2 linked regions of the Rattus norvegicus genome follow. The main gene of each other region encodes a partner of the protein of the gene in region 2 in a complex. Links are inferred from orthologs where the notes say so. Each region holds a gene or a part of one and is shown on either strand. Other genes may lie near its edges.

Evidence for each region.
Region 1: Nod2 (region 2) and Map2k3 share a complex: the UniProt entries of both Homo sapiens proteins name them as parts of the signaling complex. The link is inferred for Rattus norvegicus from reciprocal best matches to the Homo sapiens genes NOD2 and MAP2K3.

What each region holds. Positions count from the first base shown.
Region 1 is NC_086028.1:46,106,347-46,110,503, forward strand, and holds the start of Map2k3 (dual specificity mitogen-activated protein kinase kinase 3), read left to right. Parts: upstream 1-1,292; 5' UTR 1,293-1,454; coding exon 1,455-1,503; intron 1,504-4,157. UniProt on the Homo sapiens protein: Dual specificity kinase. Is activated by cytokines and environmental stress in vivo. Catalyzes the concomitant phosphorylation of a threonine and a tyrosine residue in the MAP kinase p38.
Region 2 is NC_086037.1:34,582,703-34,586,348, reverse strand, and holds part of Nod2 (nucleotide-binding oligomerization domain-containing protein 2), read left to right. Parts: intron 1-3,392; coding exon 3,393-3,498; intron 3,499-3,646. UniProt on the Homo sapiens protein: Pattern recognition receptor (PRR) that detects bacterial peptidoglycan fragments and other danger signals and plays an important role in gastrointestinal immunity.

The DNA.
Region 1 (4,157 bases), on a different chromosome or scaffold from region 2:
GTGAGGTAGGGCCTCTTCTTAGGACTCTTGTATCTATTTATAGCACCCCAATGGAGTCTGTGATCCCTGGGCTGTTTGTCAAGTTCTCTGACTAACCCATTAAACTCCTCCTGTTTTGAGGGCCTTGTCTGAGTCACCCTGGTGCCTGGGAGGCTGGCACGGGACTAGAGTCACTTTACCCATGTCTGTGGCATGCTTTTCCTACTTCCTTTGTTCATTCCTTGAATAGTTCTTAGGCACCTACTATGTGCATGGCTCTGGGCTAAGCCTTGGGATACAGCAGGGGATGAGACATTCAGGATTCTTAATGGGGAGGGGCAGGTGACACGGGAAGAGGACTATAGTAGAAACCAAATATGCAAGCAAGGCATTCGGGGCCTGAGTGTTGGCCAGAGAGCTAAGACTTACTCGAGCTCTCGAGCTCTGACTGACTACTTGACTTTGTGCTTCTTGCCTTCACTAGACCTAGGTTTCTAACTGACCCCAGAGATTTCTGGCTAGTGTGAGGACAGAGGTTCAGCGACCAACTGCCGAGATGGAACCCCAGTCAAGGCTGGCCAAAGGTATTTCAATGTTTGGAATGACACTTTGTTTAATCTGAGACTATCCGGGGGCCCAGGACGTAGAGCTGCTATAATGTTACAACCAAAACAGTTACTTTGTCACTAGGCAAAGGTTAGCCACTGAATTCCCTGCTCCCTAGGTGCTGGCGTGCCAAGTGCTCTCAGAGACTGGACTTAAACGCGTGCTCGTTCAGCAAGGTGCAGTAAACTCTTTCCCACAGTCGGTGAACACTCACCTGGCACGCGCCCGCCGTGGGATCGCTCTTTTCCTGCTGCCCTAGGAGGCAAGCCGGTGGTCGCCGCTCTCTTCAGGGGAGCACATGGACGCTCACCCTCGGTATGGCTCAGCCATTTAGGAGTCCAGTCTCACTCAGGGAGCACTTTTAACCCCACCGAGTGCATCGGCCTGGCTCCGCACTCTAGAGAGTTTGGGATTTTCCAGATTACGACCGGCACACGCTGCGCCGTAGGGGGGCACAGGCTGGGGCACCCAGGACCACGCCAGCACAATCCCGCGAGTGGGTAGGGCTGTCATCTTGATGGCAAGAGGGCGGAGCCGGGCTGGACTAGAAAAGTGGGGGTTTGGATTCCGGCTGTTGGATGGTGGGGTTTGTACGTGACAGTCCGGGCGGTGTTTGATAGGCTGGGGCCTTTTCAGGCGGGCCAATCAGTACGATGGGCGGGGCCTACGTGGCGCCGTCGGTAGGCGTCCGGCGCTGCCCAGTGTGGCTGTGGCGCCGCCCGCCTCGGACGCTTGGAACTGTCGCGTCTGTGTCGCCTGTCGCCCATCGCCTGCCGCCGCTGCCAGCCACCAGCAACCATGAGCGCGCCCGGCCCCGGTGTAGTCTGCTGTCCTCTAGATTAGTGCTCTCCTCCGCGACGGTCCGCAGCATGGAGTCGCCCGCCGCCAGCCCGCCGGCCAGCTTGCCTCAGACCAAAGGTAGGCTCTCCCGCCCTACCGCGCGGCCCGAGCCACATTCAATTTGAGCCCGCCCGTGCCCCTGGACTCCTTTCCCGGCTGGGCACAGGCACCCGGACTCCAGCCCAGGACTGGGTCCAGCCCAAGCCAAGCCCGGGACCTCACGGGACCTCATTGGAATTCGGATCTTAGGCCGTGGGATTTCACCCAGGCAGGACCTTGTTCTCCTTACTCCACTCCAAGTCTGGAGCCGCACCGTGAGCTTCTTTCTTGTCCAGGCTTCCGGGCTTCATCCTGGACTCAGCTGGGATTTCTGTGATCCCTGCTAGAGGGTCTTTCGGCTGCACTAACCCCCTCAGGCCAGACTCTTGGATTTTGTTCAGGCTGGAATTTACTCTCTTCTGGGCCCCAGGGCTGTGTTCCCAATGCAGGAAACCTGTCTACTCTTGAATTCAGAACTCCTCTCTTCCAACTCTTTCCATCCTTGTGAGTCCTCCTTTGCCCCATGCCTTGCTGGCCTGCACACTGGCCGCCTGCACTCCTCCCTACCGCTGTACCTGTAGAACTTCCTGGCGTCTCCACTTCGCAGCTCAGCCCATGCTACCTGCTACTTGTTGACTCAGTTGCAATCTTCTCACTGAGTTTTAGGAGCTGACCTCTTTTTTGCACCTAGTGTTTCTTAGTCTGTTGCTCTTAGACCTGCAGTTTGGTCCTTGGGCAAACAGCAGGCCAGGGGCTGACTGTACAAGGCTTGGGCTTGTCTTCTCCAAGTAACTAACTGTCTTTCCTGGAAATTTCTGTGAGGTGGCAGTAGAGCTGCGTGGGCTGCAGCAGCAGCATTTGTCATGGGAAGTGAGGGGGACAAGATTTGGAGGTCAGAAAGCTTTTTTTTTTTTTCCAGGAAGAGAGAAGGATGTTTTAACATGTCAGAGACTCAGTAGGTTGGGCTGCAGAAAAGAGTTCCAAGCTGGACTGTAGATGTGAATGGGTTGACCCTCTGCATCCTGGGCTGCCTCACCTGGCTAGTTTCTGGACATGTCTAGGCCTTATTAATGAAATGGATATCAGGGGTGCGATGTGAGATTGAAGGTAGAGTGATTTGAAGCAAGCATGTCTGAGATGATCAAGGGCCCAACATAGCACCCGGCACATAGTAGGTACCCAGGGGAAAAATAGTTGCTGCACATCCTTGACTGTTTCCAGCTTTCTCAGCCCTGTGGGGTCTGGGCTCAGATTTGGATTGCAGGGGCAGAGCACAGAGGACAGGAATGGTGGGCACTTAAGAGGGTGCTTGTGCAGTGGTAGCCTTCTCTCCTTCTGACTTAGGAAACCTTGACCTCAGGAGTCCTAGTCCTGGTCAGGTTGTCCTGAGCAGGTGGGGGCTTTTTGGGTCCCCTGCAGCTGGCCGCCATGGCTGTGCAGGAGCCTAGTGGGCGGGGTAATTGCGTCTTACATAAGTGGGAGGCCAGATCCCTGACCATTGCCCAACTTCTGTGAGTAACTAGGGAGGCACTTATTGGGGGAGGTGGCTGGGGAGGGACTTGCAGTGCAGACCTCGTGGAACTTGAGAACCAGGAAATCAGATGCTGCTCCACTCAGGAAGGGTTTGGAAGCAGTGTTTGTTTTGGAGGCATTTCAGCTCTTCCAGGCAAAGAGATGCCTCATCAAAATAAAAGTTGCAGTTGCAAATCACAGGGGGAGAGATTGTGAGTGACATTGCAAAGCACTGTGCAGGGAGACGGTGGACTTTTCATGTGCTCGATTGACTTGAGGCCTGGCACTGGATGCCCGGGGCCTCTCTTCTGAGAGGGCTAGTGTGAATTTGCAGGTTGTAGGTTAGGTAACATGATATTGGATGGATTGGGCGGAGGTCCTTTCCAAGGCCCAAGATCCCTGTAGCCTTTTAGGGGTTTGGAGATAGCTGTAGTGAGGGACTGACAATATCCACTTGCTAAAGTTCCAAGAGCTTTTCCTTTTCTTTTTGCCATTGCTTTGTTTGTTACTCATTTGCCTGTGAACAGAGGCTCAGGAACACTAACCATTTACAGAGGCTACACAGCTATGATGGCCCAGCAGAGCTACAGCAGGACTCAATGATGATCTCCCCAGTGTTCCTTCCATTCCCATTCCCATGTGAGGTGCTTAGGGGGTCCATGGGACACTGGTACCCTGGCCCCCTGGCCATCACCCCTATGTTCACTGGACCATGGAGTCTGCTGAAGCAGAGGACCACTTATTGTGCACGCAGTCTTACAAGTGGACACTTCCCTCAATGTGAGCCTGCAACAGATGCAAAGTGGAGAACTTGGCGAGTCCACACCATTATGGATCCTGACAGGAACTCTTTTCCACCTTTGCAGGCGACTTAATTAAAAAAAAATCACACACACACACACACACACACACACACACACACACACACACATGCATACATACATGCCACAGCATAGCACATGTATGGGGTCAGTATACTTTGTGGGTGTCAGTTCTCTCAGTTCAGCCATGTGGATTAGCCCTCCATCATGTGGGTTTCAGGAATGGAACTTAGGTTGTCCAGGCTTGACAGTAAGTACTCTTACCTGCTGGGCCATCTTGCTAGCCTGTTTGCAGAGGACTTTGAACAGAGTAGGGAGTGGTAGCACCTGACCTTTGGCGGGGACTGCAACTTTATCTAT
Region 2 (3,646 bases):
CTGCTACTGTTGTTTTTGAGACTGGATCTTACCCTGTAGCCTGAACTGCCCTGGAACTCCTATGTAGCACAGGTTGGCCTCAGATTTGGGGCAGTCCTCCCAAGTGCTGAGACTACAGGCATGACCCACACAGCTGCCTTTTGCAGTTTTCTGTGTGGTATTTTCAACCCTGAACTCTTGAAGTTTTCATCTTTGCTTTGGCACTTGCAGCCTGTAAGGGCTATTTTTACTGTTTCTTTATTACAGCGACTTGCTCTTGGTTTAGGGAACGCAATCTTTTATGTAGACAAGATAATACTGTTTTTTTTGTTTGTTTGTATGATTGATTGAGTTGTTTAATTCATGCTATATACATTTTTGTGCTATTGATGGAACCCAGAGCTTTCACATGCAAAACAATCGCTCTACCACTGTGTGACATCACTCACTCCCTGTATAAACCTTCAAACCTTCTCTTCCCTATTAAATTGGCTCTGATCTCCTATATTTGATACTTTCTTTGGGCATAGGTAAGTCTTGGTTATGTGTCTTATTATTAAAAAGACAGATTGTGAAATTTACTGAGCAAGCAGGTGAAAGCTGTCCACAGTGATTTCCACCATAGGTAGTTAGGAAATGGTAGTGTATATAATAGTTTATAACTTTAGAACTTTTCTCCTGGGTTTACCAACTTCCTCAAATAGAAATCCTTCTGCCTGTGGTGAAGGCTGATTGCAGAGGTCTGGGAAACTGGAGGATGAGTGACCTGGGTAGTGGAAAGGTAACCTTGGCATTCATTTTCTACACAGTCATTTAAACTCTGTCTTTGGGTTATGGCTGTTGCATTATACCTGGGTTCTCCCTGTCCTGAGTTCCCTTTTCATCCATTCAGAATGCAGATCTCCAGACAGCATGGCAGGCAGGGACAGTGAGCAGCTGGCTAGTGCTTTGGGATGGGGAAGAAAGGCTGGTTCTCTATGTCATAAATTCTTGGACTTGTTCCTTGTCTTCACCGTCTCCTTGTGTTACAGACATACTTAATGCTGCCATGCCAGAGCTCTGGGCAGACTGTAGGGTGCACATGGCATGCTTTTCATTAGCAACATTTTGGTCTTAGGACTTAGCCTTCAGGAGTCTTCTACCATCCACCCATGTATCCATCCACCTGCCCATTCATTTGTTTGTCCGTCCAGCCACCTATGCATCCATCTATCTACCCATCTATCCATCTAGCCATTCATCTGCCCACCCACCCATCTATCCATCTATCCATTCATCCACCCACCCATCTATTCACCATCTATCCATCCATTTGTCTGTCCATCCATCCACCAACCCACCCATCCATCCACTTATGTATTTAACCATCCATCTATCTGTCTGTCCGTCCATCCATCCAGCAATCCACCCACCCATCTGTCCATCTTCCTGTCTGTCTGTCTGTCCATCTGTCTGTTCATCTAGCAGGAGTCCTTTCATACTGCCTCCATCATCGGGACTAAGTCAGTGAATAAGACAGAAAACCTGCTGTGATGCTCACACCTCAGCTGGGGATAGCCCATAGGAGATCGCAGAGTTTTGGAAAGTGCTGTGTGCAGTGGAGAGAGTCCCCACGGTGTGAAGTAGTGACTTCACCTTCCTGTAAGGTTGTTAGAGCATTCTCACTGAGAAGGGAGAAGCTGGGCAAAGACTTAAAGTAGGTGAGAGAGTTAGCCTTTAGCCTGCCACGGGCAGTGGGGATTAGCACTCTAGCCTGAAATAGGAGCATACTGGGCATGCTCATTAAACAGGAGGGAGGCCAATGCTAAGTGGGGCATTCAAGGGGAGGAGGAGGCAGTCAAGCAGTCAAGAGATGCAGTCTGGGTTCACAAGGTCACCGGCAAGGATGCTGTCTCCTTTGTCTCTGGAGAGTTTACCATTAGACTCAGGCCTCTACTACAGGGCCATGGCCGGGATGTTTTAACCAGGGTTGTGTGACTGACCTGTAAAGTACTCTCCTCTGAGTAGGAAGGAGGCACTCTCCTCTGACTGCGGTGTGGGGAGTAGGCTGTAGGCAGGAACAGTGCAGAGACTGGCAGCTGTACAGTTCCCAGGTAAGCCATGGTATGCCCTGTGCTTGGGAGCACGACAGCAGTAGGACTCATGCACACAGGGCTCCATAGCATGTAGACATCTGCTCCTGCATGGCTGCTGAGCACAGCCATATAGCTGGGCCACACCAGGAGTCTAAATGTACCAGCTGTAGAAGACGTAACAGAAAAGAGAAAAAAAAAAAGCAACACGTTCCACTATTTCTTATGCTGACAGTGTGTTGAAATGGCAGGATTTTGGATGTTGTGGTTAAGTATGATCTGTGACGAAGTACACCTAGCCCTTGTTGCTGAAGCATGTGGCTGTTAGGTCTCAGTGCACATATACCTTGCTTGTATGCGCTGGACTGTTTCTGTCGGACAGCTTGATTCTGGTACTTTGAAGGTGGAGACCACAGGACATGCTGACAATGTGCAGAGAAGGAACTGTAAGGTGACCTCAGATGCTGGCCTGAACAGCTAGAAAAATGGAGAAGACTTGAGCAGAGATGAGAAAAGGCATGTGTCTGGCATTCTTGACCAGCACACGTGTGTTGTGTGTGTGTGTGTGTGTATACTTATGACACATTCAAAAGGAAGAAAATGGGCAGTTAGGCGTGCGGGTTCCATACCTAACCAGGTAAGCCACAGCACAGTTTAGACTGGAGAAGAAGGTGAGTTCTGTATAGAGAGAGAGTTTAAGCATTTGGGCCATGGGACCTGGTACAGCACCTGCTATCCAGAGGTCTGCAGCTTCCAAAATCATGTTTTGCTTTTGTATGTTGGCAGGTTCATGTATTTATTTGGTCCTTTTTTAGCTTTTAATTTTCAGCTATTCATTCTTTCAGTGGGTTTTGGGAGGGAGCCAGGTTGGCTGTTTGTTTGTCTCACCAACCACGACGACATCATCTTTGTTTGCTAAGTGCAGACGGTAACGCAGTTGTTTTTCTGGGCTCTCATTATGCTAGAAGAGGACTGCGTATCGATTGTACTGTTTTCTCTTTTATCCTGAATGCTTGACGCCAGAAGGATTTCAGATATTTTTGGGGGTTTAGAATATTTACATAAACAATGGATACCTTGGCAACCCGACCCACGTCTAAGGACAGAAGTCATTTATATTTCATACATGCATGGCTGGAAGGAAATTTTACACGGTGTTTCAATTTTCCAGTTATGACATTGTACTAGTTAGCAGCACTCAAAAGGTTTTGGATTTAAGAGCATTCAGATTTGGGGTCTTCAGTTTAGGGGTGTCGAACCTCTAATAGAAACCTTTCCACACTGCTCCTCCTCCCTGGGTCTCCTTGAAAACAGTGATGGCCTTTCCTTTGTTGTCTGTAGGCAAGAAGACTGCTTGATCTCGCCGCAGTGAAGGCAAATGGACTGGCCGCCTTCCTTCTACAGCACGTCAGGAAATTACCAGCCTCACTGTCTCTGCCTTACGAGGGTATGTATTTGCCCCTTTGGGTTAACACAGATCCCCAGGTAAAGAGCAAAGCGCACGGCAGTTAGCATCCTCGGATTGAAGCCTAACGTCCCCTAGACTCAGTTCCTGTCTCTGAAGCCTCGCAGGGACCTGCAGCAGTGACGATAGA